2 linked regions of the Canis lupus familiaris genome follow. The protein of the gene in region 2 binds, or shares a complex with, the protein of the main gene of each other region. Links are inferred from orthologs where the notes say so. Each region holds a gene or a part of one and is shown on either strand. Other genes may lie near its edges. The genes, in order: ARPC5 and ACTR3.

What was found.
Region 1: ACTR3 (region 2) and ARPC5 share a complex: the UniProt entries of both Homo sapiens proteins name them as parts of the arp2/3 complex. The link is inferred for Canis lupus familiaris from reciprocal best matches to the Homo sapiens genes ACTR3 and ARPC5.

What each region holds. Positions count from the first base shown.
Region 1 is NC_049228.1:16,857,172-16,872,125, forward strand, and holds the start of ARPC5 (actin-related protein 2/3 complex subunit 5), read right to left. Parts: upstream 9,472-14,954; 5' UTR 9,295-9,471; coding exon 9,152-9,294; intron 6,783-9,151; coding exon 6,710-6,782; intron 4,464-6,709; coding exon 4,287-4,463; intron 1,222-4,286; coding exon 1,159-1,221; 3' UTR 1-1,158. UniProt on the Homo sapiens protein: Component of the Arp2/3 complex, a multiprotein complex that mediates actin polymerization upon stimulation by nucleation-promoting factor (NPF).
Region 2 is NC_049240.1:36,609,172-36,624,074, forward strand, and holds the start of ACTR3 (actin-related protein 3), read right to left. Parts: upstream 10,299-14,903; 5' UTR 9,974-10,298; coding exon 9,930-9,973; intron 1-9,929. UniProt on the Homo sapiens protein: ATP-binding component of the Arp2/3 complex, a multiprotein complex that mediates actin polymerization upon stimulation by nucleation-promoting factor (NPF).

The sequences.
Region 1 (14,954 bases), on a different chromosome or scaffold from region 2:
ACAGGCTGATTTCCCTCTTGGTCCTATGCATTCAGGTGGTTTTGGAGTTACTGAGTAATAACTTTTTATAAGCACCGGTCATTTTGTGAGAACCGATTTGGTTTGTCTAACAAAGTAAACACTTTTTGCTGTGTGGCATCTTCCTTTTTTAAAAACCACTGAGCTAAAATACAGAATGTGTATGTGTCTGGATCTGAACCAAATCTCTTAAGATCCTAATTACCCTGAAGAACACTGAAGACATTTATAGGGCATATGAAATACTAGTTATATGCCTCATAATGTCTAAGGCAGCTATTCTGTTTCTAAAGAAAATAGCATTTCATTCAGAGGCTGCCCAGAATTTGAACTTCATCACTGTTTCCACATCTTTTCTCATTTGGAGTAATTTTCCCAAAGAGGGCCATATTATTAGAACGAAGTTTTATGCTCATGTCAAAGAGGCTCTGGCATTTCATAGATATATTTTTGTAGAGCAAGACTCCTTGCTCTGGACCCTGGAGACCACAAAGAAATCAAGAGGCCATGATTATTGGATGCAAAGAGGAAGAAGCGTACTTAAGCTCACATGATCTGGAGGTAAGCAGAAACAAAGCTGGAACTTGGTAGTGGTGTTCATTCACCGCTTGTTCTGGAAACACATTTTGCTTAAATAAGGGAATTATGGTCCAGTTTTGCAATGTTAATGGCTGCCAGTTTCGCAAACATTATTTTTTTATAAAGATCATTTCCTGGCTAGCAATGAGTAAGGAAACTGGCCTCAAACTCTGATCAAATTTCTCACTATTAGTCAAAAACAAAACAAAACAGCAAAAACAAAAACAAAAACGCAAAAACAAAACAAAACCCCACCAGCCAATAGGGGTTAGAATTGCACAATTAAACTTGGAAGGCAAATTATACTATATACAGACAAGTATACACTGAAATCGTTTTGAAAGCATGAAACATTCCTGTTCATAAATATTTCCTCTGTGTTATTCCAATTTTCACAAAAGGAAAACTGATATGTAATTGTTCTTTACTGATATGAAAAAGGAAGCAAGAAGGCAAAGCTGAGAGAAACAGATGCTACCCAAAGGGCAGCGGTGGCATTTGGTTGTTTTGGTCTTTGTACCAGCGACTCCCACACCCACAGGATATCCAGTTCCTGCTGGACTACACAGTCTTCCTCGCAGTCAAGACTCGGACAATGGAGCCTACTCCTCCTGCAGCAAGTGCCTAAAAACAAACCAAAATGTAAACGCTGATGGAATTATAAAGGGCTAATTATCATACCCAAGTAAGACTTTTTTTCTTACAGAAGGAATGTGTGCGGCTATCAACTTCGGCTTCATTAATTTTCATAAACGTTCTTGAACACCAATTACGCACCCAGCACTGCAGAGCCAGTGATTGATAAAACCTTCACAGTCCCTGCCCTCGTGTACCTACATGCTCGTGAGATACTAGTTTACATTCTATAATTTTTTTCCCCCACATAATAGGATGTTCTTCAAGATTTACAGCATGTTCTTGCTGAAAACATGTGCTCAAATGTAAATTTAGGACATTCACTTTGCTCTTTTATTTTTTAAAAGATTTTATTTATTTATTCGTGAGAGAGAGAGAGAGAGAGAGAGAGGGAGGGAGAGAGAGAGGCAGAGACATAGGCAGAGGGAGAAGCAGGCTCCACGCAGGAAGCCTAATGTGGGACTCAATCCTGGGACTCCAGGATCATGCCCTGGGCCGAAGGCAGGCACTAAACCGCTGAGCCACCCAGGCATACCCACTTTGCTCTTTTAACACTGTCAGGGAAAAAGTTCAAACTGGTATCAACTACCCTAAGTCCCATTTAGATCAGCCAGCTTGTTAGATTCTTTTTATTCCTCCAAGCTAAAAGTGTATCATTTAATAGCTAAGAACTTAGGAACTTTAATTTTGACACTACCTTGAAAGACTGGAAGTCATGATCAAGTGTCAGGAGCTGAAAGCTCTAGCTTACTTACTGAATACTTTTGTGTACCGAGTACTGTGCTAGATGCTAGGGATATAGCACCTTCTGGTCTACTAGGAAGGGACAGAACATAAAAGAGAGATTATGTTAATATAACATAATGTACGAAATGACAGAGGTGTGCCCTGGGGTAAGGAGGTACTCAGGCAGGGAGGAAATCCTGAGCAAAGGTACAGAGGTGTGAAACAGTAAGGTGTGTCCTGGGAAAACATACTATTATGCTGCTCACTGCTGGAGCAAGGGGGATGAACGGCATAAAAGAGGAGTGGCTAGACTTTGGAACTTGAGCTTTACTCTGCAGGTGACTGAAAGGGTAGATCTGGATTTCAGAGAGGGCATTTGGCGACCGGGTGGAGAACAGATTCGAGAGAAGCAGAGCTGGTGGCTGGAGGCCTGTGTAGGAAGTTACAGCAAAAATCTGGGGGAGATGCTGCAAAGAGCTGCATCAGAGGGGTATCTAAGCGTGTGGCTGGAGAAGTATTTAGCAGACAGACAGGCAAAAATTGGTGATGATGTTAGGAAGCAATGAAGACTTGATGTGTGCCTCAGTTTCCCCATCCACCAAAAAAGGAATGATAGCAAGCTTTCCCTCCTACTATTTTTATGAAGATTAAAGGAGTTATTTATGAAGTGATTAGGAGAATGCTTGGAATACAGTAAGTGCTCCATCAGTGTCTGCTATGATCCTGGGACTGTACAGGAACCAGGATGCTTAGGTTGTTAAGCTGGCTCTTCATCTCTAAATTGAGGGTGATAAAGATGCTTATATGCCTCCTAAAGTTGTTCTAAGGCTTAAATGAAACATCATCTAATGGTACAGTGTCTGGCAAACGCAAAGTATTCCTGAATAGGATGACCATATACATTATTCTCCAACTGGTACACTGAGTGAAAGTGAACTATTCATAATCATGTTGGGACAACAGGCATAAACTGGAGCCATCTTGGGAAAATAGGGAGGTCTGGTTACCCTGTCCCTAAAAGTTAGGCTCTCTTTGACAGTGCATGAGTGATCAAGTGACTTGATTAAGACAAGTTCTACAGCCTATTCTCATCTTCCATTTGTGTTTTCACTCAGATACACGGACAACAGCTTCTAAAGACTGAGAGTTGGGAACTGAGAGATATTAGAATATACCCCTTCCCTGTGGTTGGTTCTATTTAAATGTTACACTGTTCACATCTGTACCCATATTACCCAAGAGTTGGGTATTAAAAATGACCTTACCAACTTTTTACCTAACGCTAAAAATTTCCCTTAGCTATTTTTTGAGGGACAGTGTACCACCATCTGCTCACACTGCAGAATCAAATGCATGAAAACAGAAAAACATTGAAGAACTCTTGATCTTACCCCACCTCTGATTTCTTTTCTTTAAATCCTGTAACATACAGAGCATGAAATTTGCTCCTTTAACCATCTTTCAGGGTAAAATTCAGTGGCACTCATTATATTCTCAGGATTATAGTCACCACTGTTTCCAATAATTTTCATCACCCTAAAAAGAAACACTGTCCCCATTAAGTAAGAACTCTCTATCCTCCCTTCCCCCAGTCCCTGATAACCTCTCATCTTCTCTCTCTCTCTCTCTGAATTTGCCTCTTCGAGGTATTTCCTGTAAGTGGAATCACACCGTAATTTGTCTTTCTGCAACAGGCTTACTTCACCTTGCACAACGTTTTCAAGGTTCATTCGTGCTGTGCCATGTATGTAATTTCCTTCTTTCTGTTGTTCAAAAAAACAAAATGTAGTGTATGCATAAAATGGAGTATCTGGGGGATCCCTGGGTGGCTCAGCAGTTAAGTGCCTGCCTTCTGCCCAGGGCGTGATCCCGGAGTCCTGGGATCGAGTCCCATGTCCGGCTCCCTGCATGGAGCCTGCTTCTCCCTCTGCCTGTGTCTCTCTGTGTCTCTCACGAATAAATAAATAAATCTTAAAAAAAAAAAGGATTATCTATTCATCCGTCCTTGGGCACATGTGTGTTTCTAACCTTCTGGCCATGGTCAACGAATTTTTTACTTTTATTGTTTATCTTATTTTCAAAGTTCGGATTTAGTTCCAAGTTCAAGATCATGTTGAATGAACAGTAATCGTTACTGAATAAATATGTGTTGCAAACCAAAATCTCTTAAGACTAGGGTTAGGAAACATAAATCTAAGCTTTCGTTTTCATGCATTTATTTGTAAAGAAAATGATGTAGTCAAAATAATGATTTAGGTGAGAAGAGCAGTCATGGTTACTTTCTATCAATAAGTGGCCAGTTGGAGGGACTCTAGGTCGTAACTTACCTTTTCATGCCATTGCAGTAACACAGCACTGCTGTTGTCAGAGGGGCTCTCGAAGCCTTTATAAATATATTTCATGAGGAGATCCACACCATTTTTGTCCAGGGACTGAACTGCCTTCTCGATATCATTAGCTTTAAAAGAGATGAGCACCTTCAAGACAATACTGCCCGCTCGATCCTGGGGACACAGAGAACAGAGCATTCACACGTAAGCACGTAGAGTGGTTGTTCTGGAAAAGGTGACACTTAAGACCTGATGGACATGGTGCAGCCCAGGTGGCTCAGCCATCAGCCCAGGGTGTGATCCTGGGGATCCGGGTTCGAGTCCCACATCAGGCTCCTGTGTGGAGCCTGCTTCTCCCTCTGCCTGTGTATCTGCCTCTCCCTTTCTCTGTGTCTCTCATGAATCAATAAATAAAATCCTTAAAAAAAAAAAAAAAAAGACCTGATGGACATGAAAGAAGAATCCTTAGGGGTATTTGAGAAAAGTATTCAGAGGAAAGAAGGAAAGAACATGTGCTGTCACTGTATGTTCAGGGTGTTCAAGGAAAGCAGAAAGATCCCTGGTAGCCAGCGACATGGTGGAGGAGTAGGACAGGTCAGGAGGTAGCCGAAGACAGACCACGTAAGCCCTCGCAGGCCGCTGTGAAGACTGTGGCTTTCATTAAGAGAAAGGAGAAGATGTTGGAAGATATTGAGAACAGTGATAGAATCTGACCTGTGTATGAGATAACAGTGATATAATCTGACTCTGGCTGCCATGTTGAGGATGAGCTGATGGGAAGTTGGTGAGGGGCAGGGGACAAGGCTGGGAGACCAGTCTGGAAGTTACTGCAATAACATAGGCTGGTTTGGGCTAGCATGGTAGCTCAGGAGAACGACAGATTCTTGACATGTTTGAAGGAGAGCTGAAAGCATCTGCTTACAAAGAGATATGGTAATTTTCCAACTTTATTAAGTCGGCATTTAAATTTTACTTCTTGACCTCAGAGAAAACCCCAAAGACAAAGACAATGAATTGCAGTTCTACCTTGAACCATCCTTCAATAATAGTTAATAAAAATAACTTTTTAAGAAAATTTAAGTTTCCTGTCTACAGTAGGTAGATATAGTGATATTCATTTATAATTTTTTTTTCTGATAAAAGGCTGCTCCAAGAGCAAAGTTATTTTTCCACTCAAGAAGCCAAGCACTTAATTAAGAACACTTAATTTACCCTTTCAACAATTTCACTTCTCCTATTCAAGAAAGAGTGATTATCTTTGGCATTCCTACTGATCAGGAGTTTACAGAATGTTTCTACCACCTATTGCTGTCTTCAGTTTAAAGACTAAGCAATTACCCAATTTAGAAAAATATTCTTACAACCACAGCTATAACTTCCCACCCACAAACTGTGATAAAAACTCACCCATATAAAAGCAGAAGGTGGTAAAATTGAAATCTCAATGACGTCCCTCACCACTTTCAAAAACCAAAGAAATGTTTCCTCTCATTGTTGCCTAGATAATTATTATGCATTTACCTAAGTTATTACTAGTACTCAAATTAAAGAGATCCTTAGGGCTCCTACAGACAATGGGGTCAGAGCTCTGGGCTTCATTTTATACAATTAGTAAGTAAGTTCTCAAGTATTTCCGGAAAGACTGTTGCAGGGAACGTTAAGTCATGTTTTTCTGAAGGGCAATTTGGCAATGCCACTTGTAACAAAAGCCTTAAAAAATGGCATTCTAAAACCCGGCAATTCGCTTCTAGGAATTTATTCAAAGGAAATAATTAACAGTTTACTCAAAATTGTTCATTTCCGTACTGTTTACAACAACAAAAGGTCAATAATCTAAATACATGACAAAAGATTAGTTATATGTAAACTGCAGCATATCTATATGCAGCCATTAAAAAAGGTGCTTATAGAAATAAACTTACTGCCAAGGAAAGATGTCCATGTATATCATTAAAAAAGCCAATTACAAAACTCCCTTTTTATTTAAAAAACAACTACTAAGAGACAAGCTCTGTAAGCATATAACACCAGAAAGTAAAGACCGATGATCTCTGGGCAGTGGGATGATGACGATTACCCCTTTTTGCCTCTCTCTGAGTTTTCTATAAACATTTAATACTTGGATAATTTAGAAAAATTTTTAAAAAGCAACCAAATAGAATCTATTTATTTTGTAAAAGTATTGTTTATTCTTCAGGCCTATGCTCCAATTCCTCGAGTGCCTCCATTAAACACACTGAAATGGTCTCTCATAACTCAGTATTAGAGTGAGATTATTTTCATATGTAAATTTTTACCTAACAAACTACACAGAGTAAGCTCCTGTATGTCAAAGACAATAAACAGTTAAACTATTTGTTGATTCCATGATACTTCAGAGGATTTTGGAAAGAATGCTAAGACACCAGCGTCTGACTCACCTTCACGGCCTGACTCTTGGTGTTGATAGGGGGATTTTTCAGAGCTGCCTGTAGGGCGGCTGTCATGTTTCCTGTGATGGAGGTTAAGGGGATAGCAGCAAAGGGGAGCCTTCAGAAAAACATCGGAACTACCAGGTATCATTGGTTCTTAAGACTTGACTTTATACGTAGAAAGAAAAATTACCACGATCGCTATGTTCAATATTGGAAAACTCAGTATGTTGGTTTCAAGGATGTCAATCACATGTAAAACACAGAGAACATAAGAGGAGGTAATAAGGCAAAGACCAGTTCCGGCCTGGCTCTAATTACTAAATGAACACTTCGAGAGCCTTTTATTTTCCAGTAAGACACATATGAAACATTATTCAGAGTGATACGTATATTTTAAATTACATATCTACGTATTAGAATTATTAGGTCCCCAAATGAAACAGCATACCCTCAACCAAAATGTCTTTTTATGTGATTCTTAACTGGAAAAATATGGACCAAACTTTTGCTAGAATTATATTCTATCTTAATTGAAATACTTGTAGAAAATGCTGGTAATTATTCCAGCACTCTACATGATACACATTAGTAACCTCTCAATATTAACAAAAGATCTAATAATTCAATGTCCTTTAGGCTGTAGCTTAATTTTTCTGTTTTGCATATTTTCTCTTATACTTCCAAAAAGGTCATTGACACTGTTTTAGGTCATACCTATTAAATTTAGTCTTTGAAAGCACCAGTGAGTTAGCAAGTATGAGACACGGAAGGCCAATCAGACTGTCAGAATATACAGTCATTCCCCTAAAAGGAAAACCACAGAGTTCATTTGTTCCTCCATCTGTAGTGCCTGACTAGAGCTGGTCTCTTCTGGTTGCAACAAGAGAAGAGACAATATCTTTTAAGATAAAGAGATTAGAAAGCAGATCCATTTTATGGATCCAGCCGTACCAGTTGAGAGTCAGCACCCATCAACCTAAAGTTAGTTCACAAAACGTCATTTATCCATTACAAAGAATGTTTTCAGACAGAATAATGTTCATTGCTTATGTTTGGAAAAAAAAGAACAAAACAAAACCAAAACACCCCAAAACAAAAACCCCCTATGGCTGGTGGTAAGCTGTTATTTCCAAGGCTTAACAAACTTCTAGAAAAGCTTCCTTTGGCAGACTGGCTCATTTTTAAGACCTTAAAGCACTTACGTATTTAAATAATGCAACAGAGCAACAGCTGACTGTGAGAGTTGTGGAAATCAAAGAAACATCTGTATGTTGGTAAATGTTTAATGCTGTATTTTAGGTGCCTTTAAGACTAGATATAGTCACAACCAATATTTTCACTCCTATTTCCCCATTATACTTTAATAGAACATTGATGAGGAGAGGTTTAAAAAGTCTTCCCTATCTTATGAATACATTCAAGAATAATTAGAAGTGAGTGAATTCAGTAATTGAGAATCTCTAGAACTACAGCTTTAGCTGTTGCAACATTTACATTTTTCTAAAAGAGATGTGGTGCCAAATACTCGCTCAACACTGATGAATATTCAAATATGCAAAAAAAAAAAAAAAAAAAAAACAACACCAAAAACCCCAGGAACTGACAGCCGCATTTTAACTGAAATGGAAATGGATTTCAGGATTGCAAAAAATAAAAAATAAAAAAAATAAAAAATGATGCTGCTTTGCGCAAAATGACTCATCGTCTATTTTGCTCATCATCTACTTTATTCACTGGGGCTTATCTTAAATATTTCCAGGGATTCTCCACCTGCCATCCCTGTGCATTGTCCCCTTGCTTCGCAGGTAGAAGCCTCCAAGCTTCCTTGTCGGGAGCTGGCCGTTTCGTACTCACTCCGTTTCCCCGGGGCTAACACATTCGTATCTGCAACAAATTCCTTTCTCTGTAAATAACTATAATTATTAAAAGGGCCCAGGGGCTAAAAAGGCCAGGGGGCCTCGACCGTGCACACCGCCCCATGCCTCCCCGCGAGGAATGAACTCTCCTAACGCGGCCGAAGAGCGAACCGCCAGCACCACGACGCAGGCAGCCCGCTCCCCGCAATCGCACACCTCCGGAGGGGCGGGGGGACCTCCGTGACCTCGGGCCCGGGCCCCTGCCCCTCCCCCCGGGGCCGGCGGACAGCAGCCGAGGCCTCCCCTCCGAGCCCCGAGGGCGCGGCCGCCCCGCCGCTTCCCGGGGCAGCGACTCGGGCCGCCACCTGAGGAGTCGGGGCGGGGGCGGGCTCCGGGGTGACCCGGGGTGACCCGGGGTGACTCGGCTAGACGCGGGAGCGCCCCCGGCCGCCCGTCCGGCGGACCCCGCAGGGCCAGAGCCGCCGCCCCTGCCCCGGGAGCGGCCCGGCGGGCGGGGTCCCCGGGCGGGGTCGCGGGGTCCCGGGGCGGGGCGGGGCGGGAGCGCGGGGAGGCCGGCAAACGCCAAGGATATTGCCGCAGGCAGGAGTCCACCTCGCCTTCGTCGGGCCCGGCCTGCCCGTCGCCCCCGTCCTCCTCGTCCACGAACTTGTTCTCGTCGTACTCATCCACGTCCACCTTCCGGAACCGGGCCGACGACACCGTGTTCTTCGACATCGCGAGCCGGACCGGCGGCCTAAGCCTCCTCTCGGTGCTGCCTCGCCCTCGGGAAGCGCAGCCCACCAGGAACCCGCAGCCCGGGCGCCTTCACTTCCCTCTTCCGCTCTGGGGCGTCGCCGGCAGCCGCGGCTCGGACGCTTCTGGGCCTGCGCGCTGGCGGCGCTCCTTCCTCCTCGGCGACATGCTCTCCGCCCGCCGCCCACGCCGCCCCCGCTCCTCCCGGGCGCGCGCGCGAGGGACGGCGCGCCGGGCGCAGTGCGCAGGCGCGGGCTCGCGGCAGGAAGGGGGCGGGGCGGGGCGAGGGAGGCGGGGGCGGGCGGGGGCGGGGCCGGGGGCGGGCCGAAAGCGGCGCCGCGGGCAGAGGTGAGAGGCGATTGGCCGTCCGCGGGCGTCACGTGATCCCCAGGGGGTTTCCATAGCAACGCTTCTCTGCGGTCCCGCGGAAGGGGGGCGGCGGGGGTCTTAGGCTGGCGGCTATGGGCTCTGGGGGCGGGTGGCTCCTGCTGCCGCCGCCGCCGCCGCCGCCGCCGCCAGCGACCTGTCGCCGGGGTCCTGCGTGAGGTCCGGCTGGCCCGGACTTGCCTGTGGGGTGGGATGGACTGGTGGCCGGACCGAGTCCCCTGCAGTTGGCAGGAGTATGGGGCGGAGTGATGCGCGCCCGGGCGCCCAGCGTCGGTCTAGTTGTCAGAGGCATCACTTGGGACCGTGCGCTGCCCGTGGCTGCGTTCCTGAGCCGGGAGCCCCTTTCCCGGGGCTGGAGCTACGCCGCGCGGCCAGCGGGAAGTCCCCAAGGACGGAGTCGAAAGGTCGTCTCTTATCTGGCTGTGCTGTGTGACAGCATCCCGACGGCACCTGCAGAGCCTGAACTAGGTATCATCTCCTTGGGGAGGGAGACGGAGGTTCTGGGCAAGGGCTCGCGTGGCAGACCTGGGGCGGACCTGTGGAATTTGGGGTAGGGTCAGTCACCGGCATCTTAAAAATAAGTGGTGGTTTGGAGCAAGCACGGAAGAAAAGGATAGGGGCGAGCTATGCCCTCCGGTGCTGTGGGGAAACAAAACGTGTGAGGATTAGTAGGTTTGAGATGAAGATTTATATTTGTGATTTGAGATTTATATGATCCTGCTAGGCCAGCTTTTTATTACATTGGACATCCTCGTTTCTGAGAGCAAAGCCCTTACTGAGGAGGCAAAGGCACTAACACTAAAGAAATGGTAGTTGTGCTGTGTGTGTAACACCGAAGCACAAATATTTGCAGAATAAAATTATTTTGGACATTTAGCTGGACGCTGCTCAGATAGCTTTATGTTTTCCTGACATCCTCTCAGGTCTCGTTCAATTCCACCTCTAGCAGAAAGCCAGCTGTTGCCCTGTTGATACCCCAATCCTTGGTTTCCTGTGCTGTATTGAAACGAGCCCTGGACTTAGAATCAAAAACCCTGGCTGAAGTATTGACTTCCACTCATAATCTATTTGATTGAGGCATGCCACTTAAAATCCTCAATTTCAGGTTCCTCGTTGCTAAAGTGGAGCTAATAATAACGTACTTCGCGAGATTGTTCTGAGGACTAAGTACGGGAAAGTGTTCTGAAGCTCTAAAATTCTACATAGATGCAAAATGCATGTTACTTGTACCATTGATTTTGGCGTTAGTCTTACGAATTACTTAATGACATATCATGTTTTATCTTGCTCCTGGAAGAGATCAAAAGATTCTGGAGGGCAAAGACTTGCCTTTTATTTATTTTGTATCTTGCTTTACATCTGATGTAATGCTAAGCATGCAGGCAGTGCTCAATACATTCTGGTACTCAATTATTCATTGATGAATGAATAAAATGTGAAAGGCAGTACAGTTTGAAAGTCACACTGAACATAATGAATCAGTAAGAAAAGGAAGAGAGATCTCAAAATCAAACATTTGTGGGACAGATATGCATACATATGTATATATGTATAGCTGTATCTACACTGACATATATACATAGTTGTATATGTATGTATGTGGATATATATACATGTATAAATATATGGAGAGAGACTGAAAGAGTTCACAGGAATGGAATGCACCCTTTCTTCTTGGAAGGAAGAAGCAATATGGCATTTTTCTCCTCCCAATTAAACCACCCTTCTGGAAAATTTATCATTTAGGTGATAGAAGTGACATTTCTTTAAATTAACATTCAAGTTATCTGCAAACACATGATAAAAACTCTCCCCCATACTGTTTTAACAGAGCAAAGGAAAATTTTCTACCTGTTGGTAATATTTATTTTAAAAAGTCATATACCAAAGTATCAGACCATTACTATGGTAAGTGGCATTATATAACTTAGAATATAAGATTTGTTTTAATATTTCTTCCTCAGTCTCAATCTTTTGCTAACTTTAGTAAGAGCCAAACAGTGTACTTGTTTTGATGTTGAAGACGATTGCACTTTTCCCTTCTTATAAATCAAGATTTTCTTTGAAGGGAAAATTGAACATTAGAGAAGTGCTACTGAGAACAAACAGAAACAAGAATTTAAGACTAATGTATCCCTTCTCTTACATTTCTCTTCTTTTGTATTAGGTTTTATTTAGACGGTGTCTTTATTGTCTTATTTTAGAACTGGGAAAGAATCCTGGGGTAGAAATCAACTTAAGGGAATAGTGAGAGGAATTTAAAAAATCGAGTTGCTCAAGGGTATAATTGATTTGATTACTCAGAATTTTGCTGTATATGTTGAATATGTTAAATATAATTAATCAATTCTCAGTTGCATAATACATTTAAGATGTAATAATGTCGAAAAGGTCCTTTTCCAATGCGGTATTTTTTATCATCTCACGATGCTAAGTACCTAGTACATAGTAGGTATGAAACACATTTCTACCCAATGAATAATCTGACAATTTTGCAATCATATTTAGAGATTGGGTATTTCTTAATGGACACTTTAATTTCCTCCCTACCCCAATCAGCTAACAGTTAAATCTATAAAGCTTTAGGGAATGTGTGTGTGTATGTGTGTGTGTGAAGAAATCTGTCTTTAATTATCTTTTACTTATTTTGCAAATGACAATTTTTAATGTTAATCATAGTACTTAATTCATTTTAGATACTATTACTCTCCATATTTTAATTTTTCAAATGAGTGTTTATCCCTAAAATAAAGGATCCGTAACGTTTTAAGACATTTTATTTATTGTGCAAATAACTTGGTTTGGCTGAATACTAATGACTAGATCTCAATTTTCTCAAGGTTAGTGCTGCATGATAGAGTGTAGCTCCTTTTTATTATCTGTGATAATGCAAAGAGTAAAAGATCTTTTTAATTAGAAGGGATTTTGATAAAACCGTTTTATAATAGATCTTTCCTTTCAGATATTTTAAGCTGAGTACTCTACCTACCATGTGCTTCTTTTCCCCAGCCTTGCCACTAAATACTCAACGAAGACATTGAGTCCCACAGCAATGAAATGGAAGTGAGCCCAGTGTTAATCAAATGTATCAAACATGAGTTATAAATATAAAATTAATAAGTAAATTTCAGTTCTAGTCATGATGATGTAATACCACTGTCTTCTAGCAACATAATTACTACAATATAAAAAGTTTTTTTTATCATGTTACCTAGACTATAGTATGGTCTAATGCTTATAGATAATATCCAAATGAACTGATTAACTGGTTCTGTGTTGACACCAACAACCTTCCACACCTTCAGTTTTTGCTTTGTGATTTATTTTAGCTTTATATAACTTTATGAGTACACACTAAGGTAGGGTAGAAAGGGTGAACTATTTTACAATGGGACCTTTATTTACATACTAGTCCTTCTAAGATTAAAAATTTTTAAATCTGTACTCTTGTCTCAGGAAAAGTGTTTAGTGCTAAATGAAACAATAAACCTTGTTTTTATTTATTATTATTTTTTTTTAATTTTTTTTTTAATTTTATTTATGATAGTCACAGAGAGAGAGAGAGAGAGAGAGGCAGAGACACAGGCAGAGGGAGAAGCAGGCTCCATGCACCGGGAGCCCGACGTGGGATTCGATCCCGGGTCTCCAGGATCGCGCCCTGGGCCAAAGGCAGGCGCCAAACCGCTGCGCCACCCAGGGATCCCTAAACCTTGTTTTTAAATATTGTTTTGAATGAGACTCTTATTTATTTTTTTTTACCTGCTTATGATAGTGTTAAGAGAAGCTATGGATTCAAACATTTGTTTATTCTCTTTCTTTCCCATTACTGGGATCTCTTATTATGCTAACAGTTGGTTTAAGGTTATATTTTTTGTCATAGTATACAATCATAATGTTTAAGATAATGATAACTTACATTTTCTTTTCTAAAATTTATATCACTTTTATTTTTTTATCTTATTGCATTAATTGGACTTTCAAATCAGTGTTGAAAAACTGGGTGATAATAAGCATCTCTTGTTTCTATTTTAATGGAAATAGTGTTGGTATTTTACCAGTTTATATTTCCTATTGTTTTAGGATATTTAGGAATGACTGCTGAAATTGTCAAATGTTTTTTTGAGGGGTCTAATGATAAAAAATGTGTTATTTTTTATCTTTTAATTTGTAAATGTATGAATTATATATATATATATAGCACTGAACTATTCTCATATTTCTAAAATAGATTCTGGTTACTATTTTAATTACTTGATAGATTCAATTAGTTTCTGTTTTGTTTACATGATTTCAGAATCAATATGTATAAGTGAGATTGGCGCATAGTATATATTTGTGCCATCTCTATTCAATTTTGATATTAGTATAGCTTTGTAAGATGAATTGAGAATATTTCCACCTTCTTTTCTATGCTCTGGAAAAGTTTGAATAGTAGGGAATTACTAAGCTATTTTTTCTTTGCATGTTACAAAATGTGCTTGCAGAATTATCTGGACTTGTTCATGTTTTTAGAGTTAGATCTTTGATCATCTTTATCTTCTGTGGTTTTTGACTAGTTTTCTTTCCTTTTTGACTCAATTTTATAATTTACATTTAATAATTGTGCATTCCATCTAGATTGCCAATGTATTGGCAAAAAATTGCACAAAATATTTTCTTACAATTATTTTAATATCTTTCATGACCATGGACTTATTACTTCCCTTGTTGCTTTAAGCAAAATATTAAAACCAAACTTTTTTCTCCCCCTAACCTGATTATTACAAATGCTAGTAATACATCTTTCCTTCTTCTAGAAGATAAAATTTATAGTTTTGGTAAAATTGGAAAGATCCTGCAATTCCTATTTTTTCTACTGTCTATTCTAATTCTATCAATATTTTATTAATAATTGCAACTGCCCCATGAATGGTTTTATGTTAGACCTGGTAAGCAATCTCTTTATTTACATTATTTAATCCTCAGAGTAGCTTTAGGGCTTAGGAATTAATGTGTCCATTTTATGGATGAGGAAACTAAGACTAAGAGAGATTATGTAACTCAGCCAATAATACTCCACCAGCAAGTGGCAGACTGGTATGGTAATTAGGTGTGTCACATTCCAAAGCTTTTGCTTTTAATCACCACTCTCTGCTTTCAGTACCTCTTTCTCATTATTCCCAACTGTACTGCTCACCTTGGTGCTAAAAATAACGATATAACTATCAGGGTCCAAATAAACCCACACATAGCTTTTCAATAGCTTAAAATGAACT
Region 2 (14,903 bases):
ACCACCCGGGCTGCCCCACACCATATTCTTTCAATGGTTCATATTAGTTATTTCTGTTGTTTGCATCCAAAATTTCTCACTTATATAACCACAAGATACATTTCTCTGGTTTCTACTTCTAATAGAATCTTCCTATCAATTTAAAATTGTTTCACTATGAAACAAAGTTTTGTTTTGCTTTTAAAATAACTTTCCTGACAAGGCAACCTGAAACAGGTAAAGCAGGCCCCTTTGAAATGCATTTTGGAAGCACTAAAATTCTCAACTAGTCTATTATCTGAATAACAATTTAATCAAGAAAAGAAAAAAAAAGGTCTCTTTGCTTTGCGACTTCCACCCTTTTTGATTAGTATGAAGCAAAATTTTAAATACTCTGAAACAGAAAACATGAGCTTCTAAAACTGTGTACTTTTTAGATAAAATGCATCAAAATTCATCCTATACTCTAGAGATAACAATCTGTTTAATACTATTTTAGAAAAAAAAAAACTACTTTCTGGTAACCCATGTGTTTGGGTTCTCTTAACTATTTTCTGACTCAAATACCAAATATTAAGTACTCAGCCTTAATAAAAATTTTTTTATATTCCATTTTCTAAGTTCAAATATTTCATTTCTGTGTCTTATGCAGGCATTAATGACAAGTAACTTTCATAATGCATCAATTATTCATCTTTAAACTGGAGCTTCAGAAATATGTATTATCTTTATTCTGAAGCTATTTGTAATTAAACATCATGTCCTTAATTAAGCTATCTTGAATTAGCCAGCAACTGACAGCTTTATCACGTTTGCTATAATGCCTATCCTTGCAATATTCAGTTAATAAATATTCTATAAAATAAATAATTCTATGTCGATTAACTTGCTTATGTTTGGAGTTAATCAAATCAATGAGTTGCTCACTAAGACCTCCCTATATATCTCATATTTGTAATAAAACTTAACATTTCTAATAAGATTTTTTTTAATGTTTAAATTTGAATACACTTCAAAAATTCAGTTAACCATTTAACCACTGATAGAGAATATCTCAACTGAGGGCAGTGTCACAGTGGTCTCTGGGATCAAACTGCCTAAGGGCTCAGATGCTAGCTCTACTACTTAACTGTAGCCACTATACTTGAGCAAGTTACTTAAGTTCTCTATACCTCAATCTTCTCGCCTTTATTTTCTTTTTGTAATTTTTTAATTGGAGTTCGATCTGCCAACATATAGTGTAACACTCAGTGCTCATCCCATCTTTAAAACAGTTATTGTATCACAGTACCTACACTTCATAGGGTTTCTGAAAGGGTTATAATTAATCATCTCAAAAACATACCTCCTTAAAGGGCTTTGAAAGGCTGATTTGTACACATTCCACATAATGTCTTTAACTGAAATTTTTTAAAAAAAGTATTTTTCTAAGATTTAAGTGCCTGAAACAATAAAAAAGCATATTTCCTTTAAAAAAAAAAAAAAGCATTCATTTTGGGGCATCTGAGTGGCTCAGTGGTTGAACATCTGCCTTTGGCTCAGGACATGATTTAGGGATCATGAGATCAAGTTCAGCATCAGGCTCCCTACAGGGAGCCTGTTTCTCCCTCTGCCTGTGTCTCCACTTCTCTCCCTGTCTCTCATATAGAAAATAAAATAAAAAGTATTCATTTTATGGAAATAGTTTCTGAACCTGTGTTAAAATGTTACGATGGGAAACAAAATTAGTTTTGCATCTGTGCCATCTAGCATACACTTTTATTACAACAAAAACTCTAAAAAAAAAAAAAAAAAAAAAAAAACACACTAAAGATTTCTGAAACATGTATTGCACCAGGCCTCAAACTACAAAAAATATGCTGTTATTTCAACTGGTAAGAAGAAACTTCAACTACTGTAAGTCATAAATGTGAACTCTTAAGAAAATGTAAGAGAATTCAACAATGCTATCAATTGATAACTAGGAACCTTGAAAAACATTTCTCAACTCTGGACCAGTCTCATTTATGAAGCATGAGTGAAGTTATTTCTCAAAGTGTTTTTCATCTCCATAAGTCTATGTGAGTTATTAGGCATTTCCCTTAATTCACTTAAGTTTCATATATATAGAGAGATATATAAATATACACACATATATATACACACACACACTTATGAATAGCATATATATATATATACACACACACACACATATATGCACTATTTTGGTGGTCTTGAAGTAACTAAACTTAAAAATGCTTAAAGAAAAACACACCATACTTAAATATACTAAGCTCTATGACTTTAAGTAAGCAAACAATTGAGTTTTATCATAGACCAATACTAAAAACATAGTTTATGATTTTATACAGTTTCAAAACCAACCCTAAACTATAAGGCATTTTGCACCCTAATTCCCTATTTGAGACTTTCATTGTCCTTGTAGCAACCCCTCATTCACACTAAGTACTGTAACTGAAAAAGTCTTAAAGATATCCTTCTCAAGGCAATTGCAGTTTCACAATGGGCAAGGCTTAAAGGAGAGAATATTTAAAGATGTAATGTTCAGCATCAGAACACAGATGAAGAAAATACTCTTGTGAGGTACGTTAGGGGTAGAAAAGAGTTAGGAAAATATGCCAGCCCACACAAATTCAAAGTTGTTCCTTTCCTGATTATAAGGAGTATGTAAGAGTGACTCGAGTTTAAAAGTCAATAGTTTGGAAAGGTTTTGAAAAAAATCTTGAAAGAAAAATTAGTAAAATTCCATGAAATGGTCCTTTGGAAAAAGGACATAATTTGTCTTTTTTTCTGGTATTAATCAATTATTGAGATATCTTTTATACATTGTATGATATAAAGGTCTACATAAAGATATAAAACCACCATCACACAAAGTAGTATTAGTCACTATCCTATTTTGGAGAACCAAATTTAAAACATCAATCCAATAACATCACCTTATCTTGTACTGTTACTTAATAATAAATGAATTTATAAGTGCCTGGTAAACTAAAAAGCATATTAATGTAGTGTTATTATTACTGAACTGCTTTGCTCTTGCCTCTTCTTTATGCCAGCGGCTATTATAGATGAGTCATGTCATTAAAGAGCCTACAAATGCCAACAGAATTACAGATAAATATCCAAATGCCTTTATTACAGGGGAATTTTGTTTCAGAAAACAAACTGCTAGAAGGTACATTTTAACCAATCCACAGTCCTGCTCCTACTCCCATTCAGCTGTTTCACTTGTTGAAGGTGGGGGAGCACAATGTATAAGGGAGACCACTGGAGGGAAATTTAGCCCTATGTTGAGCTGAAGTCTCCTCCTAAGGATTCTACCTCTTAAAAAGTGGGATGAAACAGAAGCCTGGCTGTCAGCACAGCTGATCATTCATCATTTCAAGCCTGCGCGCCCACTCATTCTTCTCATTATGATGCTCAAGAAGCTAGATTATATATTTAAGACTTGTAAAAGAAACATTAATATTCAATCTTTTTTTTCTTTTTATTTTATTAGTTTCAATTTGTAAACTGTAATGATGACTGCCACATCTCCACCTTCATTTCTGAAGTTCCTGTATCTTTAACTTCCTCTAGAATATTTCCAATTATGATCATCATCCAAATTCAATAACAAATTCAAATAATTATTTTACTTAGCTTCTTAAAACCAAACTCAAAATCTTAAAATCTTCACTGATGACTACAATCCACCCCAATCAATTGTCAAGCCCTAGCTATACCTCCATCTCTCAAATAAGCAAAAACATTTGGACTGTGCAAAGAACTGCATTAAGCCAAGCACTGAATAAGCATAAGACACCGTGTTCCTTTCCTTAAAAAATTTCAATTCAATAAAAGAGAGCTAACTGATAATGGTAATTATAACTATGATGTATCAAGTTCTTACTATGTGTCAACCACTGTGACTAACCATTTTCATGCATTATCTCAAAAACCAAACAAACAAACAAAAAAAAAAAATCCCACCCATAAGGTAGATACTATGATCCCAAATTACACATGGGAAAAATGTGACCTGCAGAGTTTGAAGTGTACAAAGTCATACAGCTAGAAAAGCCTGAACACAAAAACAGCTATAACCACAAATAAAACAATACTACTGCAGAAGTACAAACAAAAAAGAGGCAACCTTTCCCAAATATATCTCTTCTGCTCTATTCCTACTGCCAATATCCTACTTCAGAATTTCTGCAAAGCTGATGCTGAGACGGCTGTTTAAAAATCATCTAGGAAGACCATTTAAATGAATATTCCTAGGCCCAATCCTTCAGATTCTGAGTCACTGGGTATGGGGTGTTTCCCAGGCAGTTTTTTTAAGCCATACCCCTAACTCTTGTTCCATCTTCATTTGCCAGCTCATTCAACAAAGACGTGAGTTCATATCATGTGTCAAGCCCCATAACTTCATCCCAAATACCTTCTCTACATCTGATCCAACTGCATTCCATTCTGCAAATATTCTAAAAGCCCTGACAACATTTAACTCCTCTTGCAAAGGATTTTTATTTCTTATCAAGTAAAATATTTTGAATCAAAGCTCTGCCGACACACAATGAATACCTGATACAGAAAGTGCACAATAAATGTTAGTTCCCCTTCACATTACATAATCAAGATTTGCATTATGTTATTATGTGGTCCTCAATTCAAAGGGAAGGAAGTGGTGCAACATATGCTAATAGGGCTAAACACAAGAAACAGCTACTCTCCCCTTTCTGCTGTATATGCTTTCCTTCCCCTGTATATCCAAATCCTTAAAAGGAGAGCACATATCCTACCTTCACTACAACTTCCTTGACTCTTCCTGACCACATTAATCTTACTATCTACAGAACAACTATTACTACCACAAAAGTAAATATTTTGGGGTGCCTGAGTGGCTCAGTCAGGCATCTGCCTTAGGCTCCCTCAGCAGGTAAACTCCTTCTCCCTCTCCTGATCCCCCTGCTTGTGTGCTCTCTCCCTCTCAGTCAAATAAACAAATAAAATCTTAAAAAAAAAAAAAAGTATCTTAAGATTTAAGTGCAGAATCTTACCATCCTAATTTTTAAAAATAATTTTTAGCTCTTATCTCATTAAGAGATAAGATTCTCGAGAGCATATTGTATTACATATTTTCATTATAATTCTGAGCGCGTCTAACCTGCTAAGTATATAGTTAGCTTTAAGCTGACTTGGCAAGTAATCAGCAAGTAATACCTACTTTTCTACCTTTGCAAGTAATCGTTAAGTAATATTCACTAATACTGCATTCTCCCTTTACAACATAAATGAACTATCTCTCAAAAAAAAAAATCTAAATGATTCAAAACTGTCAAAGGCTCATCCTCTGTGTAAGGAGATTATTTTATAGAGGAGGGTCTCTAACACATTTATTTGCTACAATATCTTGGGCAAGTAGTTTAATTTCTCTAAACCCTAAACTTTTCTGTTCATAAAAGAGGTAATTCTCAGGCTGATGTGAAAAGTAAATGAGATAATATAAAGCATATAGCACTGGGCCTGAACGTAATTCTTAATAAATATTAGCTTTTAGCATTTCCTGATAAACAAAACATAGAGAGTAAATTTTTTCTAGAAGTTCAATTTAAGCAAATTGACAAGGAAATAAGCTAGGAATTCACATATCCACTAAATACACACACACACACACGCACGCACACACACGGACACATACATATATACTTGATATATATAGATACATATCACGTAAAAAAGATATGCACAGGAATCATTTCTCTAATTCATTAAATCAAATGCTTAAGACTAGGATTTATAATATTTTAAGAAGAGAATTAACTTTGCTAATAAAAAGCAACATGCATAGTTCTGATAAGGGGCTCAGGAGTTTCCACAGTGTATTATAAAGAACACAGGGCTTCGACACAGAAAAGCTTAAGTCCAAATAGCAACTCTTATCACCATTAAAAAAAGTGTTTCTCTAATCCTGTTTCCTCACTTGTAAAATAAGGTAAAAATGACTGTCACAAAACTAAGTAACATACATAAAATCCTGGTCAGCAGGCCCTCCACTAGTGGAGCTTTCCATTCTGTGCTTAAAAATAAATTTCTGAACTGTGTTTTACAATTAGGCTGAAAGTTCATTAGATACTATATACACACACACACACACACACACACACACAACCCAAAGTCAGTATTTCAACACAAGATGTGCATGCAGGGAAAGAGACCAGTGGGAGAGGAGAGGAGGAAGATTGTATTTAAGTAAGAAACTGACTTCTCAACAGAAGACTGTTATACTTACTTCACACAGCATGTAAAACATGACCCATGAAGGAATAAGAATTTCAGTGTTTTTTGGTAATAACAAGATACTGTGAATGTTTCTGCTCTTGAAGATGGCTTGGAGAAATAGTGTTATTATCAAATATCATGTACAGAATTCATATAGGAAATATGAACTTCCCACTTATTTCCCCCCCACACACACTCAGTTCTTCCTCATTGGTTCTCAGGGAAGATTGGTTCCCAAATTATCTGCACTAATTGCTAGAATGTGGCCACAGTATGAATTATATAAACTCCTCATCCACTGACTCCAACAAAATACTTATGCTTACATTTTAAAATTACGCTAAGAAACTTGAGTCAGTTACGGAAATTCACTCTAAATCTGAGTATATCTAGACACCAACACACAGCTCTACAATAAGGTCATATTAACTTCTGCTATCATAATGGAAATAATTTACCAAAGCAGAACGGATCAGGTAGAAAAGACATAAAGGGGAAAAGGAAATGTCACAATGTAAAGTTCTGTAATCAAGCTGAGGCATTAAAAAAAAAAAAAAAAAAAGTGTGTAAGGAGTTAGTTCCTTCATTTGAACGTTGAAGAAATGAGTGAAAATATGCGAAAAATAATTTAGGATCTTCTAAAACTTTCCAAGTGTTACAATGTTATAAGAATGCTTTAAAAAAAAAAAAAAAAAGTTTCCCTCACCAAGGTAGCAGATTGGAGGTCTGTAATTTAGTTCTTAAGCAACCAGCTAGCTCTACAATGAGAATCTCTACCCAAATTTTTTTCTACAGTACTGTTCCAATGCAGACAAAAAGTGTGTAGATATGATATCAATGCGAAAAAAAAAAACAGTTATTTCTAAATTCTTATCAAAAGGAGTTATTTTCTTATACGATCTGAGCTTAGGTGATTATCTTATGTTGAGATAAAGGATCTTTGCTGCAGGATTTCTAACTTTAAGCCTGGGGATTAAGCTTCATGTTTCCTAAGGCTTACAGCTTTTCTTGTGGGAGAACACCAAGTTTCATAGCCGGCCACTTTTTCCTGTCATCTTTTTCCTAACTTATATAATGAAATGGAATGATCATCCAGATTCAGGTTATAACTCTTCATTTATATTAAGTGGGTAATTGTAATTACAGACCAAATAGATGAATGCATTCTCTAAAGCACAAAGGAACACACAAATTATAGGTGAACAATTTGCATCTGGGGACCACAGTACTCTGAAACATAAAACTCCCATGAAGGCCTTACTTAAATATGCTTATCGCAGGCCCAAGCTCAATGAGCCATCCTCTATGTGCTAATAAAGCTGCAGGTATAACTTTCCAGGAGTTGCATTAGATAGCCACCACAAAGGACCATGAAACCTTTAGAAGACCAAAATAAATGGAGCTCTGACAGATGGTAAAAAAGGTGGGAGACAATGGGGACTCCTAATCAGTTCCATTTAAACCATGAGTGCCCATTAAACCACCTCACCTTGTGAAGTAAAACTAATGCAATAAGGTAAAATATAGTAACGTAATAATTGAAATACTAAAACAAAAATAATCCTAAATGTAGACTGAAGCCCTTGGGGACCTCCCGGACACTCAGCCTGTCTTAAATTCAGGGTTGCCCTAGCAGGAGGAGGTCAGCTAAGGACAGTCAACCTCAATGATTAATACCCGAATACTAACTCAAAAATAACCAGAATTTATTTCAAAAGGGGAAAAATGGGGGAAAAGTAACATTCTAGTTACCATTAGCACTACAATTATCCACACTAATTTTATTAACCCAATAATTTCTAAAGCATAAAATATTAATTATATAACAGTATTTCTCACTTTAACAAAACACACTTGAGGGACACCTGGGTGGCTCAGTGGTTGAGCGCCTGCCTTCAGCGCAGGGCGTGATCCTGGGGTCCCAGATAGAGTCCCACGTCGGGCTCCCTGCATGGAGCATGCTTCTCCCTCTGCCTGTGTCTCTGCCTCTCTGTGTATCTCTTATGAATAAATAAATAAAATCTAAAAAAACAAAACAAAACACCCCACACTTGAAAATTCCTTCTCACTCAGGACAAATCTAATTTTAAAACTGACCCTAAGCATGAAACTACTCCTCAACTGGATCGGGGGGGGGGGGGGGGGGGGGGGGGGGGGACCTGAGTCAAGAAAATTAGGATTAAAAAAAACAATAAAAAAAATATATATATACAAAAAATAAAAATAAAAAAACAATAACTTTAATAAGCTGTCCATCAAAACAATACATTTAGAAGTTCCACGGCTAAAAGTAGGCTGGTATTTTCCAAAGGAGAATAGGAGAATGTTAATAAATCGGCTGTTTCCACATGCATGGCTGGGATTTTTGAAACTGTTACACTAACAAAGTCGTGAGTATGAAGATTAGAGCTTTAAAAAAAAAAATAGAGCCGTTTTACGGGGAGTAAATGGAAAGAGGGGCATACACAATCCTTGATGCAACGAAGGTCTGCTGGATGATAGAAGGCAGGGAGCAAGGGCTGACACTCTACCTCTCATAACCGACTCCCCCTCGGTGTATTATTTTGCGAATTAGGAATGAAACAATGTATCAGCACAGGACGGACACACACACCCTCCCAGCGCTGCAAGGGAAACAAGTCGTTCCACGTTAAAGTACAGACTATTTCCTATGAAAACAACAGTGTGCCAAAATCCCAAAACGCCTATTCATACACTTCAACGCCGTTCTACACGTCTACACGCGACCCTGCGCACTGGAACCCCCCGAAAAGCAAGCGCACCCCGCGGCCCCACAGCCTCCGAGGCCCCCCCACCCCCCCCACCCCCCCCCGGCGAGCGCGCGGCCTCAAGGACTTTCCTGGGGCTTCCCTTCTCCCCCCCTTCCCGGAAAACACTCGCACGTCTGTGTTCAAGTCCCTACAAACTGATGTCGAGGGCCCGTAATTCAATCCATTTCAAATATGCTCAATCCTAAAAGTTCTAATACGAGGTGTTCAGGTTGGAAATGAAAAACTACCTTATAAGGGTATAAAGGGCTGAAAGCAGGAAGCGGCTTTGAGAAAACTAAGGAAGTTGCGGCGCGCTTGCTCACTAGGGGACTTTTTTTTTTTTTCCTTTTTTTTTTTTTTTTTTTTTTCTGTCCGAGGCAAGACGAGTTAACACATGACATCCTTCTCTCTCAAATTAAAATGTGCCCGTGGCTCACCGGTGCGAGCGCAGGAGGCGGGGAAGCCCGGGGGTCGGACGAGGGGCGCGCGGCCCGCCCGGTGGAAGCCGCGGCCCCGGCTCGCAGGTTCGGCGCCCGGGCGCCCCCTTCCCCGCCCTCGGCCCGAGCCGCGCGGGGTCCCCGCGACCCGGAGCACCCGCCCGGCGTCCCCCGCCCGTCCGCTCGGCCCCGGCGCGCCGGCAGCAGGAGGAGCCGAGGGGCCGGAGGCTGAGCGCCGGGCCCCGCAGCGCCCACCCGCCCGCGGCTCCGGGGGCACCTCCGGGGGGACCCCGCCGGGACCCCCGCCCCCGCCCCCGCCCCCGCGGGTGACGCCCGGCCGCACCGCGGCCCCGGCCCCGCGCCCCACCCCCGGCAGCCCGACGCCCGGCGGCCGCACCCCGCCGCGGCGCATCCCCGCGCCCGCACCCTCGCCGCCATCTTCCCAGCTCCGCCTCAGTTTCCCCACCCTCCTTACCCCGTGCCACAGTCCACCACACAGGCCGGCAGCCGTCCCGCCATCTTCCTCCTCGCCTGCCGCCGCCGCCGCCGCCGCCGCCGTCTGCTCCGTGCGGATTGGGGCCGGAGCTATCTGACCATCCACAGCCGGGCCGGCCTCTCCGTCCGGGGGGAGCCGGGAAGCCGAGGCAGCAGCGAGCAAGCAGCAGGCTCGGCCAGCGGCTACCACTTCCGCAACCCGGGCGGGCAGGCAGTCCCCGCCCTGCCCCGCCGCGGCCTCCTCCCCCTCTCTCTCCCCTCCTCCTCCCTCCGGCCCCCACCCTACAACTTCTTCCCCCCGCGCCGCCTGGCCCCGGGAAGCCAAGATGGCCGCCGGCGCCGCCGCCCCGGCCAGGCCAGGCCCAGGCCGCCCGCGCTCCCCCTTCCGGCTCCGAGCGGGAGGGGCGAGGGAGCATGCGCAGTGACGTGGCCCCGCCGGCCGCGGCGCCCGTCCCGACGTGAGCGGAGTCCGCTCCGGGCTTTCCCGGACGGGAGGGGCGGGGCGGGGCGGGGCGAGCGCCCGGGGCTCCTGGAGCTGCGGGAGCGCCGCGGCGTCCGTGCCTCCTGCGCTCGCCGCCCGGCGCCTGCCCCCGCAGCCCCCCGCAGCCCCCCGCGTCTTCTCCGGGGCCCCGGGGAAGACTGGCCCAGTAGAAAACGTCCTGAGCGGCACGACACATTCTCGTCGCTTGGAGACGCTGCTTTTCTGGGTGGAGGAGCGCGCGGGCAGACGGAGGGCGAGCGGTCGGGAGGGTTGGGGCGAACAAAGGCTTGCAGCCGGCTGCTCCGCCTTCCTGCCGGTTTCTAGGCTTTTGCACCTGTGCGTGGGGACATTGTCTGGGTCGCAGACGCCCGGGGGCAGGCCTGTCCCCGCGAGGAACACACCCCCCCCGGGAGCACCTTCCACATCACGCACTCTGCGCGGATAGTCGGTTATTCGCCGCTTTCGAATGATGACAAAGATGCCCTCAGCAGTTTAAGATTCTGCTGTTTTGCCGGCAGGATTATGCCGATGATCAAGGAGCGAAAATAATGATAATAATAAGGGGGAAAAAGGTCACATACTGGACAGCCTAGAACAATGGTTTTCAAATTTAAGTGTGCATCAGAATTACCGAGAATGCTCGTTAAAACCTTGATTGCTAAAAACAAAACACACAAAAAAAAACCTTGATTGCTGGGCCGCATCCGCAGAGTTTTTGTGTAGGAGAAGGGCCTGGTAACTTGCATTTCCAAGACGTTCTCAGGTGATGGTCTGGGACCCCACCTGGGGAACCTAGAAGTTTAACAGCTTTCCACCAGGCTTGTCTTCTGATAAATCTTCCATTTGCTTATATGGCTGAAATAAAAATATTTTCCCTAAGAAAGGATGTCTTATGCACAATGGTAAGTTGTTAGACTGGGCAGTGGGATGGAAAGTGGGTTTTTCATCCGTTTGACATGTTAAGTATCGCTCACATCCTCCATTATGGCAGGGATCCTGCTGCCTCTGAATAGTCTTTGGGCACAAAATACAGAAGGTCCCTGCTCTCAAGAGTTCACAGTTTAATGGGAACATATAAATTGTGTTAAAAGCATTAGAAGAGAGCAACAGGCTACAAGATACAGAGATGAGGGTGGGAGAATGTGAGGGAAGTAGAATATAGGGAAGGCTTCTCGACAAAGTGACATTTTAAAGGTGAAGTAGAAGATAGGGGAAAGGGTGAGGAGGAAGGGGAGCCGTCCAGAAGGGGGAACAGCAAGGGTCAAGGGCCTGAGGTGGCAAAGAGCTTGGCCTCTTTCACAAATTCAAAGACCTAAACGGTCCAAGTGAAGTGAGCTAAGGAAAATGCAATGGGAGGTGGAGGCCGGGAGTTAAGGAAGAATCACACCACAAGGATTTGCAGACTTCTCCACCAATCTTAAAGTTTAGCCTAAAAGCAGCCTGGAAGGCATCAAAGAGATTTAAGCAAGGAAACGTGGCTGCTTTGTAGGGAATGGACCCCACAAAGTAAAGAGTGAAGTGAAAGGTCTGATAATACATTGTGTGCTATAATTCAGGGATAGAATTATGTGAGCAGTAACACCCAGATGGGATCAGACATGTGCAGAAGACCAACGTAGGGGAATCATCATGACCAACTAGTGCCCAGCAATCCACAGCTACTCCTAGAAAATAGATAAATAATCCTCCAGGGAAGCTTTTCTCAGCAATTGTCTTCCAAGGAGTCCAGCAGAAATGGTTCTCTGTTCAGATGCATAGTTGTCTTTTCTTCCCCCCATTTTAGAAGATCCTAAATGGGGATTCTTTGCTGCCTTTTCCAACATCAGATATTTAAGGTCATTTGGGAGAATAGATGCCTGAAGATCTGCTGTGACAGAACAGAGACATGTGGGTCAGTTGGGGTAAACAGTTTTTTTCAGCATTAACGGTAGTAAGTCAGGAGTGAAAGGTTCTTACCAAAGGGGTCCCAAGAACAGAGGTCGCTCAGGGAAACCCACACTGGTGGATCCTCAAGATGGGTGCTCACACACAGGCCTTGTGTGGGTTGTCACAGAAACAGTTACATCAAGGCTCGAAAACTGGAGCATTCACACGATCCAAGCAGGTGCCATTATGACTGAAGAGGACCATGACGAGGTGTGACAATAGGGAGACTCCACATCCACACCAAAGGCAGTAGAAAACTTACTATGCAGAGATGTAGACTCAGTATTGCCAGAGCGTCCCTTTGTTCCAGAAAAAATGGAAAATCTGGATTTTTATCTGTTGGTAACTAATTCTCTGCAGGCTCTTTCTGACCTGTGGGAAACCAGTTTTCAACTTTTGATTTGGGAAGCTGGTTAACATTTATATGTATGTTGCATTCAAATATGCAGCTCATGTCAGCGCTAGATACTGTATCTCATCCACATGAGGAGACCTTCTACAGTGGTCTCTTTCAAGTAGTCAAGTCAGCCTTTTATAAAGGAGGTGACCCTTAGAAATCTTTGGAAGCTTCTAACTCTCGTTGGAAGCATTATTTGCACTGGTGCCTCATAATTTGTCCACCCAAACACTTTGCTTGCTTAACACCCCTCCTACTTCCTACTTGCTAGTGCCAAAATTGGTCAAACTCTAGCGCTGCTGCGGTTCAGCCTTCCTCAGCGGCACCCAGCCCTCAGATGCAAGTCCAGCCAGAGCATGTCTGACCACTTTGCATAGGCACCCTTCCTCCTCCAAATACAGAGAAGCAGAGGAGGTCAGAGCTCAAAGAGCTCACAGAAATGATCTTGTTAGACATGAAAAAGGAAAGCAGTGGTGCGTGGGTGGAGTTTTCCCCATACCCATTCTCACCTAATAGCACCCTGATTTCCTTTTAGTTCAGATCAACCGGTGCGAGTCACTTTCTAAGCCTGGTCCCCAACATTTCAAGCATTTGTGAGTCTTGTAATATCCTTCCATGAAAGCCCCTTTTTGGTTAAATTGGTGGTAATTAGCTTTCATTACTTACATCAAATTTAAGAATACTAAGTAATAAACAAGCCCAGAGAATGTAAGTGACTTTCCTAGTATCTTAGAGAAAATAGGAAACAGGACCCAGACCAAAGCCCAGCTCTTTTCTGGGCTCATTAGTTGTAACACCACAGCGTTGTTTAATTTTGACTGATATACTAGCTACCAGCTACTATGAGGTTTCCTAGAATATTTGTGCTTTAAGGCCAATGTAGCAAATGTCTCTAGACCTTAAATGTCCAAAAAATTCACATATCACTCAATCTCCAATATTTTAAAATGGCAAATGTTATTATTATTTTTAAATCAACATAAGTACTTGCTGCAATAACTATTTGCAAATTAGCGGACCAATCAAATCAAATCCACAGAGAGTATTAAGGACAAATAATAGATAAATAGTCAAGATATCCATGCAGCCCAGTGGTCAGAGGCCCTACTCCAGGCAGCAAGTTAACTAAGTTAGTTAACTTAGTCAACTAACTTAGTGTGTAGAGTGAGACCTGAACGTAGAATCAAGAGACTTGAGGGGGGGCGGGGAACACCTGGGTAGTTCAGTTGGTTAAACATCTGACTCTTGGTTTTGGCTCAGGTCATGATCTCAGGGTCATGAGTTTAAGCCCCACATCAGGCTCAGCGCTCAACACTGCTTGAGATTCTCTCTCCCTCTCACTCTGCCCCTCTTGCTTATGCACTTGAGCGTGTACGCACTCTCTCTCTCTCTCAAATATATAAATAAAATCTTTTTTTAAAAAAGAGACTTGAGTGTGAATTCCTTAATCTATTTTAATCTAAATTTGCAGAAATAACTAACCTATGGGGTTGTTGTAAAGCTTGAATTTTAAGAAAACATATTATAAATTATAGAATGATCTTATGGACAGATCAAGATGACTGTGGTTTAATTATAAAGCAATGACTCTTTTACTTATTAAATAAACATACAGATTTAAATATCCAAAACTGTGTCCTCCTTATCACAGAAGTCTTGGGGCTTAATGCTACCACTGTGCAGAATATTTTTAGAAGATCTCCTATAGACTTGCCTTCAGAACCCATGGCACGTTCTTTTAAATATCTCCATTGGTAGCAAATCTTGGCCTTTTGTGAGTAGATTGATTTTTGGAATTGGTCAAAAGTCATTTTTTTCAGCACCAAGTCCAAAGAATAAGATGGCTGAACAACTAGAGCTATGGTTTTTAGTGAACAGCTTTGTGTGACTATAAAATAATAATACTGGTTTTCATAAGTGATTTATCACCTGCTGCTGCCCATGAACTTCTAAAAAGAAGTTCTGGAAAGATTTTACTCATTGGCCACATCCCTAGGATAAAAATAAATGTTATAGTTATTATATGTTTAATTTCAAATGAAAATATATTTCATATGGTAATAATATCTGTACAGTGTTTGAAATGAGGTGAGATTCTGTGGGATTTTTCACTATCCTGTCTCCCTCACTACTGCAAAAAGTGAACAATT